Linked DNA regions of Neodiprion lecontei. The protein of the gene in region 1 purifies or fractionates together with the protein of each later gene. This does not show direct contact. Links are inferred from orthologs where the notes say so. Each region holds a gene or a part of one and is shown on either strand. Other genes may lie near its edges. The genes, in order: signal recognition particle 54 kDa protein and signal recognition particle 9 kDa protein.

The links.
Region 2: the proteins of signal recognition particle 54 kDa protein (region 1) and signal recognition particle 9 kDa protein purify together in Homo sapiens (co-immunoprecipitation; 4 studies listed by BioGRID and IntAct, counting the BioPlex papers as one, with this or other methods). This does not show direct contact. The link is inferred for Neodiprion lecontei from reciprocal best matches to the Homo sapiens genes SRP54 and SRP9.

What each region holds. Positions count from the first base shown.
Region 1 is NC_060263.1:31,043,096-31,049,955, forward strand, and holds signal recognition particle 54 kDa protein, read right to left. Parts: upstream 4,695-6,860; 5' UTR 4,573-4,694; coding exon 4,495-4,572; intron 3,941-4,494; coding exon 3,764-3,940; intron 3,697-3,763; coding exon 3,467-3,696; intron 3,040-3,466; coding exon 2,889-3,039; intron 2,644-2,888; coding exon 2,495-2,643; intron 2,400-2,494; coding exon 2,138-2,399; intron 1,990-2,137; coding exon 1,881-1,989; intron 1,767-1,880; coding exon 1,500-1,766; intron 1,379-1,499; coding exon 1,281-1,378; 3' UTR 506-1,280; downstream 1-505. Other genes in the region: 28S ribosomal protein S2, mitochondrial, read left to right, coding at 4,821-4,854, 4,919-5,029, 5,321-5,970; dehydrogenase/reductase SDR family member 7, read right to left, coding at 6,324-6,396, 6,494-6,660, 6,791-6,860. UniProt on the Homo sapiens protein: Component of the signal recognition particle (SRP) complex, a ribonucleoprotein complex that mediates the cotranslational targeting of secretory and membrane proteins to the endoplasmic reticulum (ER).
Region 2 is NC_060266.1:26,102,970-26,106,888, reverse strand, and holds signal recognition particle 9 kDa protein, read right to left. Parts: upstream 2,190-3,919; 5' UTR 2,003-2,189; coding exon 1,931-2,002; intron 1,611-1,930; coding exon 1,542-1,610; intron 1,461-1,541; coding exon 1,365-1,460; 3' UTR 1,103-1,364; coding exon of another isoform or gene 1,066-1,102; 3' UTR 798-1,065; downstream 1-797. Other genes in the region: band 4.1-like protein 4, read left to right, coding at 583-689, 1,066-1,102; irregular chiasm C-roughest protein-like, read right to left, coding at 2,886-3,475, 3,746-3,919. UniProt on the Homo sapiens protein: Component of the signal recognition particle (SRP) complex, a ribonucleoprotein complex that mediates the cotranslational targeting of secretory and membrane proteins to the endoplasmic reticulum (ER).

The DNA.
Region 1 (6,860 bases):
CGTTACTTTTTACTTTTCTTTTTTCTTACCGTAAGCTCGATACTTGCCGGTGGCGATCATTCTCACATCACGTGTATATCGACAATCGATTCTATCGTTTGAAAACCTTTTTTTCAAACAGCAATCATTGCGGCGGATGTGATGAGGTTTTATGCAATTGATAATTAATGATAAACTCAGTACGAAGCAGGCAATGTTGTAGAAAAAATTAAGTCATAATCGATAATAAAAGAAATATCTCGTCCTACAAATTTATTATATAGTCATGTCTCTGTATGTACAATTCACTATTGGCATAAAAATTTATTTCTCGTGATCAAATTCCGTGCCACGAAAAAGAACTTCTTATTTTATATATTTATTGGTACAGAACGTAATTTATCATGCATTGTTGGGGGTTAGTCAGATCTAAAATTAGAAAGTTTTGGGCTTGTGCTGCGATGAAAATTTATGAAACTGAGTGTGAAGGACAGGATTCATTGTTCAATAAGGAATGCAAGTCGGAAAAATGTTATACAATAATTTATTTACAAAAACATCGTATTTTCATAGTACGAGGTCAAATGCATACCGTATCTACCATGTTAATAAATCTCGTAATCGTTATTGTAATCTTCTCTACTCTCACCTACCTTATTTTCACATACAAATCTCAAATATTGTATGCCGTAGTTACGGTAAAAAATTAATCTTTCGTTACAGAATCAGTCCTAGTTCTGAATGTACGGCAGTTGTAGCACATGAAACTTATTTATTTTCGTATTAAGACTTGAAAGCTTTGAATAGGAAATTTCACTTGGTATTTCGAGTTCATACATATTTGTTACAAATCTGCTTTTTAGCATGAACGTGAAGCATGGAGAAAGAACTAGTGCACCTGTCAAATACGGAGTTCATCAAGAAAGCAGTAAATATGCTGGAATATGCATGAAATAAATAGCTAATTTCTCCAAAAGATAAAAAAATGTACAGCACGCCTGCCTTTCTGATTCCTCGGTGCTTACACCGTGAAAACTGAATTAAATGTTCAACTTTTGGACAGAAGCCCAGTATTATAAATACAGTAAAAAAATAAAGATTCTCTGAACAACTTAAGAGAAAATAAAACTGTAAATATATTTTTAGAAATTCCAAAATCTGACAAATAAGGTGAGGGAGGGAACAGAGACAGAATTCTCCGCAATAATAAAAAGTGATACTTAATTTCGTTGATGTCTCCTAGTGTGCTGTGGGTGGGAGCGATAATCGCGCGACTCATTAGTGTCGCCCGATTCTTCGTCTCAGGATTTACCTCCAAAACCACCCATCAAGTTGCCTAGTCCGCCAGCAGCACCTTGCTGAAGTTGTCTCATCATGTTTTGCAGCCCTGACATTCCACCTACACAACAGATTTTATATATTTGTGACGATAAATTACAGTTGAAAGCTGTGGTAAGAGGTCGAGGCTACCTTAAAGATACACAAATCATAATTCGTTACACCGGTAAATTTCTACCCACCCATTTGTTGTAAGACTCGTGGATCCATCATTTTTGCCATTTGCTGATTGAGCTTTGCCATTTGAGTAGGATTCACATTCTTAGTCATGTCACCGCCCTTGAACAGACCTTTTATACCACCCATTTTCTTCACCACTGCGGCAAACTTCGTGTACTGTCCTATTAAATCTTTTACTTCCTTTTCAGTTACACCTGATCCTTGGGCTACCCTCACAACTCTTCCTGGTTGTTTGCTAAATAACTTGGCCCCGTCTCTGTTGTCTAGCTCTACAAAAGTCGATTGAATTCTACATATTCATATTATTTCAAGTGGCGAATAGAACATCAATCTAAAGAAGCAGGATTTAGTTATGAATAATATCTGTAATGTTTTACACGTACCACCGTCATTCATACTATCCATGATTGTCATAAGGCGCTTCAATCTAGCCATGGATTCTTGTTCTGTACCTTTCGACATGAAGTCTTGGCTGAAGCCAGGAATCATTCCCTGTTAGCCAATGGCACAAAATATGAATATCGTTTAAAATATATATGCTTAATAATCTGTCCAAACTAATTACATCCTGAAACTTATTTGGTAACAACTGATACCAAATAGTTTTTTGCTATCTATACCAGGAGTCACATATAATTACCATGATTTGAGAGAAGGGCCCCATTTTCATGATGTTTTGGAACTGTTCGTACATATCCCTCATAGTGAATTGGCCGTGTTTTATTTTTTCAAGTAGTTCTTCGTTATCATCCAAATTGAGCTCGTTAACTTTATCAATCAACCCTTCAATATCTCCCATTCCCAAAAGCTTGCTAATGAAGGGTTTTGTTTTGAAAGGCTCAAGGTCATCTATGTGCTCACCGGTACCCACAAATATGACGGGACTTTGAGTAGCAGCAACACTAATAAAGAATATAAATATAAGCAAGTGAATCGTATAATATCAAATCGTTTACTGAAGTATATCAGCTCAAAATTGGCTCCAATGAATACTTACGCTGAAAGTGCACCACCACCTTTGGCATGGCCATCCAATTTAGTAATGATAACAGAACCAACGTTCACACGGTCCTTGAAAGCCTTTGCTTGACTCTCACAAGCCTGACCTATTGTTGCATCCATCACGAATATTATATTGTCTGGTTTCTGAAATAAATTGATGTTGAATCGAAATGGATCATGTGATCAATCTGTTCACGAAATCGGTAATGCAAAGTTATTTGCAATTTTAGTGCAACAAAATGAACTTCTTCTATAGTTTTGGGTTGAAATTGAGTGAACGTCAAATTATTGCGAAGGTTTCTAATCGACTATGATAAAATAGCATAAAGCAATCACAATCTGAATAATTCTGAAGAATTGAGTTCCGCTGACAACTCATTCAAACCTACCACTGCATTTGACACTTGCAACATCTCTTCAAATAGCGATTCCTCTTGCTTGTGTCTACCGCTTGTATCCACTATAATTATTTCGTATCCCTCCTTTTTAAACATCTCCACACCATCTGCTGCTATGACTGCAGGATCTATCTCTGTATAACTGTGATGACAGCAATGTAAATACATACCCGAACCAATAATGCGAGCGCAATGAAGCTTAACATCACAGACGTTCATATTTCGTAATGTGTTTTTAAAAGCTATGCTTGCTTAATACTTACTAGAGCTGAATCTATTACTATAAAGATTAATTCAAAACTGCACTCAAAAATTTAGATGGAATTTTTCCAAACTAATTTTCTACTCTGAAAGTAGTGCAATATTTTCAATGAAAATTATTAATTGAAAACCAGTCAGAAAAAAACATTTTCCATTACAGTCGAGTAACTATTCTATGAGTAACTAAATTTCAAGTTTGCACATAAATTATGATATACAATTAGATGTTTATATTCATCATCTCAATTACTATAACCAACACAATATTTCAGCTTTAAGATTCCTTAACTTGTTTCAAAATAAGTTACCTTCCATAAAATGGTATCCTAGCTTTTGTTGCGTTCTGTTTGATTTGATCATATGCACCAGCACGGAAAGTGTCAGCACAAACTAAGCAGGATTTCCAATTCTTTTTTAGATAATGGTAGGCAAGTTTTGTACACGTCGTCGTTTTACCCGAACCCTGTAAACCTACGAACATTATCACATTAGGCCGTCCTTTTACAGGCTGATAAGCTTTCACGCCTGGATCCACTAGCTGCAATAATAAAATGACTATCAAAATCACGGCGGTAATAGAATTAATCGTGATAAAAAAAACGTACTTTAACAAGCTCTTTAAAGACAGCGCTTTGGATCATCCTCCGCTTATTGAGACCGCCGGCCATGTCATCAAAGTCAATGACCGCACGAACATTCTCACGCAATTTCTTCACTAATCTAATGTTGACATCAGCTTCAAGTAACGCCGCACATATTTCTTTTAGCATAGAATTCAGCACCTGTAAAAACGGGTTTACACCATTTTTTCCGAAGTTTCTTTGATATGAATATAAAAATAAAAAAATTTCCGAATTTGCTAATAACTGATACAAAAATTAATATTTATTTCTTCATTAACAATATCAAATTTGAAACAAGGTCAATGTTTCTCAACCACATTCTCACCATCGAACCAAAAATTGATGTGGAACTGAAATTGACTTAATTTACTGAAATTACAGTGATATCAAAATCGACGACAATCAATAATTTAAATTCTGCAATAGAATACTATTGACATTGAAATTCGATTGATCGAAGATGAATTTCAACGAAAAAAAAATCACGTAATTGCGTGCAATTGTGTGTTGAAAAGTCAGGTTAGGTTAGGTTGGTTATTGATAGAAAAATGTACGTATTTTAATAAGAACAGGAATTGCGATGTTCTGCAATGATCTTGATACAAATTAATCATAACAATCACACGAGGTGGGAATAGTTATAAACAGTATTTGCTTTTAATATGCGACGGGTTTTTAAATGCCTTTCCATCTGTTTACATCGTTTTCCTCACCTCTTCGTTAATGACGGTGGCATTGCTGAGCGACCGCAGGGCGGACGTTATTTTACGCCCCAAGTCTGCTAACACCATCCTGCCGTCTTAATTCACACAATTAATGCAAAATTCAATTATCTTAATATTTGTATTATTTTGTACAAACACTGATATGCCAAATTCGTCTTGCCAGGCCAACACGGCATGGCGTTATTTCCGGTGTGGTTGTGAGTTTGTTCTTGGCCACCAGGCGGCCGCCTACCAAAAGTATATTTCATACTTTTCATCACTTTTCATACCGCGATTCTCGAATCTCGATAAAATAAATAGTGTGGTGTAGAAAAATGGCTGCTTCTGTGTTAGGGCAGACGCTTTTTTCGAAAAGTATGTTTTTTAGAAATTGATCAGTTAAATTTTGTTTTAGAGCGTACGTGTCTCACGCTTTTTTTTGCAGTGCTAAATATGGGTTGCCGCTTCCGGACGTCAAGGGTGTTTTCACAGAAATTGAGGAATTTAGCAACTCAATCACAACCTCAAATTGTTTCAAAAGAAGGTGGGGATGTCTTTAAACAAATACTTTGATTATCAATTAAACCTGCCATGTCCAGCGGCTTAGCACTTTTTTGCACCGATTTGCCTGAAACTTTTCAAGTTTAGTTGGCTCGAATTCCTTCCCTCCCGTCGTAAATGGCTATTTCTCAGTCATTGTATAGGTTAAGAAAACAGGTTGGGATTCTGCTTACAGTGAGATTTCCAAGTTTTCTAAACCCGTCAACTCCATGAATAGCCATAACACTTGGCACACAGATCTACGTTCTTCGATAACGGTCTTTTTTTCTTCTAGGAACTGACGTCCCGTCAATAGATCCACTACAACATCCAGATTTCTTTGGAGTTCATAAACTTTTTACAGTTCAAGACTTATTCAAAGCAAGAGTGCACTATGGTCATAAACTTGGCTCTTTAGACGATCATATGCGTCCTTACCTGTTCGGATCTCGCTTGGACCATTTGATATTTGATCTCGATATAACAGCTGACCATCTACGACGAGCCCTCAATTTCACTGCCCACATAGCATTTAACGGTGGTATAATTGTTTTTTTTTGTAGAAATACGCAAAACGCGCATCTCGTTGATAAAACTGCTAAAGAATGCGGGGAATATTCTCACACAAGATTTTGGAGGGGTGGAATATTTACCAACGCTGATAAACAGTTTGGCGACGCGACACGTCTACCCGATTTATGCATATTCCTAAATACTTTGAATAACGTATTAAATCAACATACCGCTGTTCGAGATGCGGCTAAAATGTGCATCCCTACTGTAGGCATTGTCGATACAAATTGTAATCCAAACCTCATCACTTACCCTGTTCCTGGAAATGATGATACACCTGTGGCGATTGAACTCTATTGTAGACTATTCAAAACTGCGATATTACGTGGTAAAGAAGCAAGAAAAAAAATAAACAATCAACTGAAAAATTGAACGAAGGTTAACTTTACCAAATTATATATTTAAGATTACCACAGTATAATGTACAAAATTTAATAAACATCTCATAGTAACAACAATATTGGATAGATGTGGTAAATAAAATGTCTGTTTAAAAACCATCTTTCTTCTCCCCATTCAATATAATAACTTATAATGACTACTACCATAAAAGATTTCAGTAGCACTGAATGGGAAAGGGAACTTATCTTCTGGTATAAAAGCAAAGGTGCAAAAATTGGAGATATTCGCAAAAGTCAAAAAGGATCCATAACTGATGGACTCTAATGGTACTTGACTGTATTATGGTAGAATTAAAATTAGTCCTCGAAAAATAGATATTATCTTCACTCTGTTTTTAGTACTTGCTTAGAGTCTCGCATGTCAAGAAACTTCTTCGATGATATAAACTTGGGTAACCTAAATAAAAAAACGAAACAGTAATACTACTGATTACTACACATTACTATAGCAAAATATGGTGTGGTAATTAATCAATAATTTAAAATATACTTACAAGTTCAATATATTGGGATAGTAGGCGCAAATATGTACCAATAACATTACTTTAGGGTAAGCAGCCCAAGCTTCATAAATTTCATTAGCCAATGCCACTGCAAATAAATTGGCACAACGTTCTGAACTCATTTTTGCATCAGATACGGCTGTTTCTTCTCCTAGTTTCTGTAAAATTTAATTTAGATAAACCCGAATTTTCGGTCATTTCCTGTTGTCGATACTACACAATCCTACTAATAGATTTTAAACCATAACAGATGGATTGTAATGACTTTTGGAAACACGTCGTCCATACTTCTCCACTTTTTCCAGTAAAAGACTCTGCTAAGAAAGGTGTTTGTGTCGGACCAGGACAGAAAATGGTT
Region 2 (3,919 bases), on another chromosome or scaffold:
CCTTTGCACAATGAAGTAGATAAACTACCTTATTATAAACTATTGCAGATATGAAAACTTGTCGCGACAATTTTACAATGTGTGATAGACTTACAGATCTTCAATCATACCCCCAAGATAGGCTACAGTTGAATATAACAATTACCTTACTTTTAAACTTCAAAACTGTTTGCAAAACTTGGCTTTCCGCGGATTTTGCTTATTGCTTTCAATATTACTCGCAGTTACCGTATTTTTGCACTTGTAAGAACTGCGTTTTGAAACTTGACCAAACCATTTTATTTTTGATGAGTTTCGATAAAGTTCTATTTTGCGTAATGCTTACGATTGAACTAATACGGCAAAGGTGATCTACGTATTTGTGTGTGTCAAATCTGAGCATTTTATTAGAAGTATAATTTGCAGTGAATATTCTCAGTTGAATTATGGAAATATCCTGGTAGTGTTTCAGCAGTTAATTGTTATCATGATGGTTTAAACGAAATTTCTAATGAAATGCTGATGAACGAAACTGTGGTAGACTATTGTATTTATTGATCTGCTGTGTGGTAGTTTAGTAAAAAATAGTTTTCTTTGGTATAGCAACAAAAGAAATTGGGGGGAGAGGGACGCTATGATCTGTCTTCAAATCAAGAAATCTACCCTCCCGCTGACGCAACTTTGGATGCAGTTCTTCAGCCCATTATATCGTAAGTTTCTTCGCCCCCCCCGCGCAGATGCTTCTTTCTTTATGCCATTGTGACTGTAAGAAGCAGCCAAGTATAACAACGATCTTATTTTTTCAATATTGTTTTCACTTTTTTGTTTTCAAAAAATTTATTTCCTTCTGCAAATCGTCCTCTGCCACTTTATTTTCACATGGTTTTCTTCGGTATTAAACAAGAGTGGCACAGGTTACGAGTGAATTGAGTCATGGCGGGTGATTTCTTTTCATTTTCCAAATACACATAATCTATTTCTTGCATGTGGATTTGTAAGTATCTATTGCAATTATGAAAGATGATTAATCCATCCATCGCCGAAATGAAGAACAAGTAATAATTGAACATTTATCTGTTGTTACAGAACTCTGACTCGCCGCCACAGAAGCAGGCCGAAATAAGCACCGAGCTTTAAGTTCAAATGAAGAATAATTTCAATGCACATATTGTATATTAAAGAACGAAAGAGAAACTGTTTTTTTTTTTTTTATCTCAATGGAATGAAAGACAGAAATGAAAAAAATCTATATGAATATACTATATACATATATGTATCGTCAAAGAAACGGACTTTAGAATCCTTGTGAATACCTTGTTTTTCTTTTTCGTTTCATCCTTTTTCATCGTTATTATTTAAACAATATATTCCTATAGTAATAAATATTAGTTGTCCTTGGACGCCATGTGTCGCATCAGGTTGCCTATGAATTTTTCCATCTTTTTCAGATCTTGCGCGATCTCTGTTTTGTACTGCAAACACTGCAAGTGAAACGATGAACGATTTAGCCGCGATTGCAACAATATTACAGCATTTTAACTTGTGCTTTACGCTTTACTTACCGTACGATTGTCTGTGAGCTTGAGGGATAAAGTACCTTTGTTATGGCAGTATTTCATTGTGTACCGAGCCTGGAACAAACGAAATAACAAGTAAGTTAGACAAAGGTTAACAAGGGTGACATACAAATCATTTGACAATACTTGGAATATTAGTATCTTTACAAATGATCGACTCTTCCTACTTATGTATTCATGTAAATTTATCATCGGCGTCATTGTACACAGCTGGTGTTAACTGTACCGCCACGATCAACATATAGGTTATGATTTGAACAGTTTGGCAATTGACAGAAATTTTGCACCAAGTCAACTTTTAATAAAATCTTATTCATCTATAGGGTGAATAAACTACTGTCAAAGTGGAAGAGAATAAAAGTGAAATGGCAAACCTTCAGTGGATCTTGGAGATATAACCTCTCAGCTACCTTCTCGAATTCTTCCCATGACTTAAGGTACGTCATTATTATTATTGAACCTCCGCGAAATGGACGCGCTTTCGTTTGCTTTCACGTTAATCAACTGTTCTTCTACCGTTAGTCACACGTTTAAATAAACATTCATACTCGTTCAACCAACCTACAAATGACAGAGACGGTTTGTCATGGATCTCTGGGCCACCTGTCTCCACGCGTCGTAAACGAGGAGTCGATCGGTCATAGACTACGAGACTCGTAGACGAGTCTTGCCATTCGCATTTCTTAAATTTCATTCGTCATTCCGATATAACATCAGGTTCTGAACCTCGATTATCCTCTGTGGTATTTATCGATTAAAAATATCACGCGGTGCTTATTAACAATTGGAATATTGCATTTTCACAGTACAATTTTCGTCGCTATCAAAACAAGTTAGTTATCTGCCATTCGCCATATTGCATTGTGATGTTACTTTCGGGGGATACGTTACTTGTTTGTAAACGATATTTTGACTTTAATTATCAACTTTTATTATTGTTTTTTCTTTAATCATATTTATTTTTTATTCCTATAAAATACAACAATGAAAACAATAAATAATTAAATATAATTAGTATGAAAATTAATGGTAATAAAAGCTTATAGGTGTCACATTATGTCAAACAATTATGGTTTAGAAGCGAACGGTAATTAAATTATTAGTGATTATTGTACAGATAACAATTAAGGTTTCAGACTCTGTAAAAAATATTTGATCGTTGAAGAAAAACGGACAATGTGTTTTCTACGTAGAAGAATAATCTTTATATAATCAATAATACAATATCCCACGCGTATTATAGCAAGTATAGTGCGTGAAAGCAGCTTTTCGGTAAAAATTTGTATCAATACGTGTTTCGTTCAACATACGAAATAACGTTAACGTTCGCTAAACTATCGTTGGAGCCTGCAGAACGACGGGGGCTCTCCTAACTTTCAGCGCTTCTGGGCTCATCGGCGACCTAGTCATAGCCGCCTGTTTCGAAATGTGATCGTATCCGTAAAGAACAGCGAGTGGGCTTTCGTGCAACGTCTCTTTATTGTTAGCCAGAGGTTTGGTCTGGTCCTGGCTAGCTTGGATCTGAGACTGATCGGCGATTCTCTGCCTGTCGACGGTAGACGTGGGGCTGTAAAAAGCGTCCGCCGCAATGCTTCCCTCCTCAACTTCCTGGCTGTACAAATCGGTTCGTTTAGACCTGAACGCGGCGTAAAGACAGATCGCGAATAGCCCGAGGAGAAACAAAGTCCCGACAGCCGCGGCTGCCGCGATCAATCGCGTCCCCATCGGGTCCCGCACCAGCAAAAGAACATTCGTCGAATCCCTGCCCTTCTCGCTCTCCACCAGCAACGTGTAAACCCGCGCGTCCTCCTTCTGCAAATCCTTTATCTCGAGCTTCGCCCAGTAGCAATTCGTCACCATCTTGTTCTCGATAATCGGTTCCAACGGAAGCGCTTCGTACTTCGGCGGAATGCTTTCTCCTGGAAATTCAATCGCTCGGATATTAAATTGCTACATGCAACTCTCCGTAGTAGTAGTACCAGGAGATTTCTGGGTACAGATCCGAATGGTGACCTTTTACCCGCTTCACAGTTCAGACACAAACCCTTTTCTTCGTATGGGGGTTTTCCTCATTTCGATTGACTGTACCGATCACCGGAAAAAAGTGTCGTGTCTTTGTGTATCGGGATCTGCACTTAGAACTCTCCTTCCATCCCTACTCTCCACCACCGCAATCGAACATCACTCACCAGCCCTGATGTGCGAGCTCCCCCACTGCCAAGCGACGAGGCGAGGTGGAGGCCTGGAGCAGAACCGGGACCTCAGTCTGTGAACCGGTTCCCCGGCCCACCCGATGGACCGGATGTCGCCTCCGTCCGCGGATTCGCCAGCCGACGAGGCCCCCGTCTGGATTTCGGGGGGTC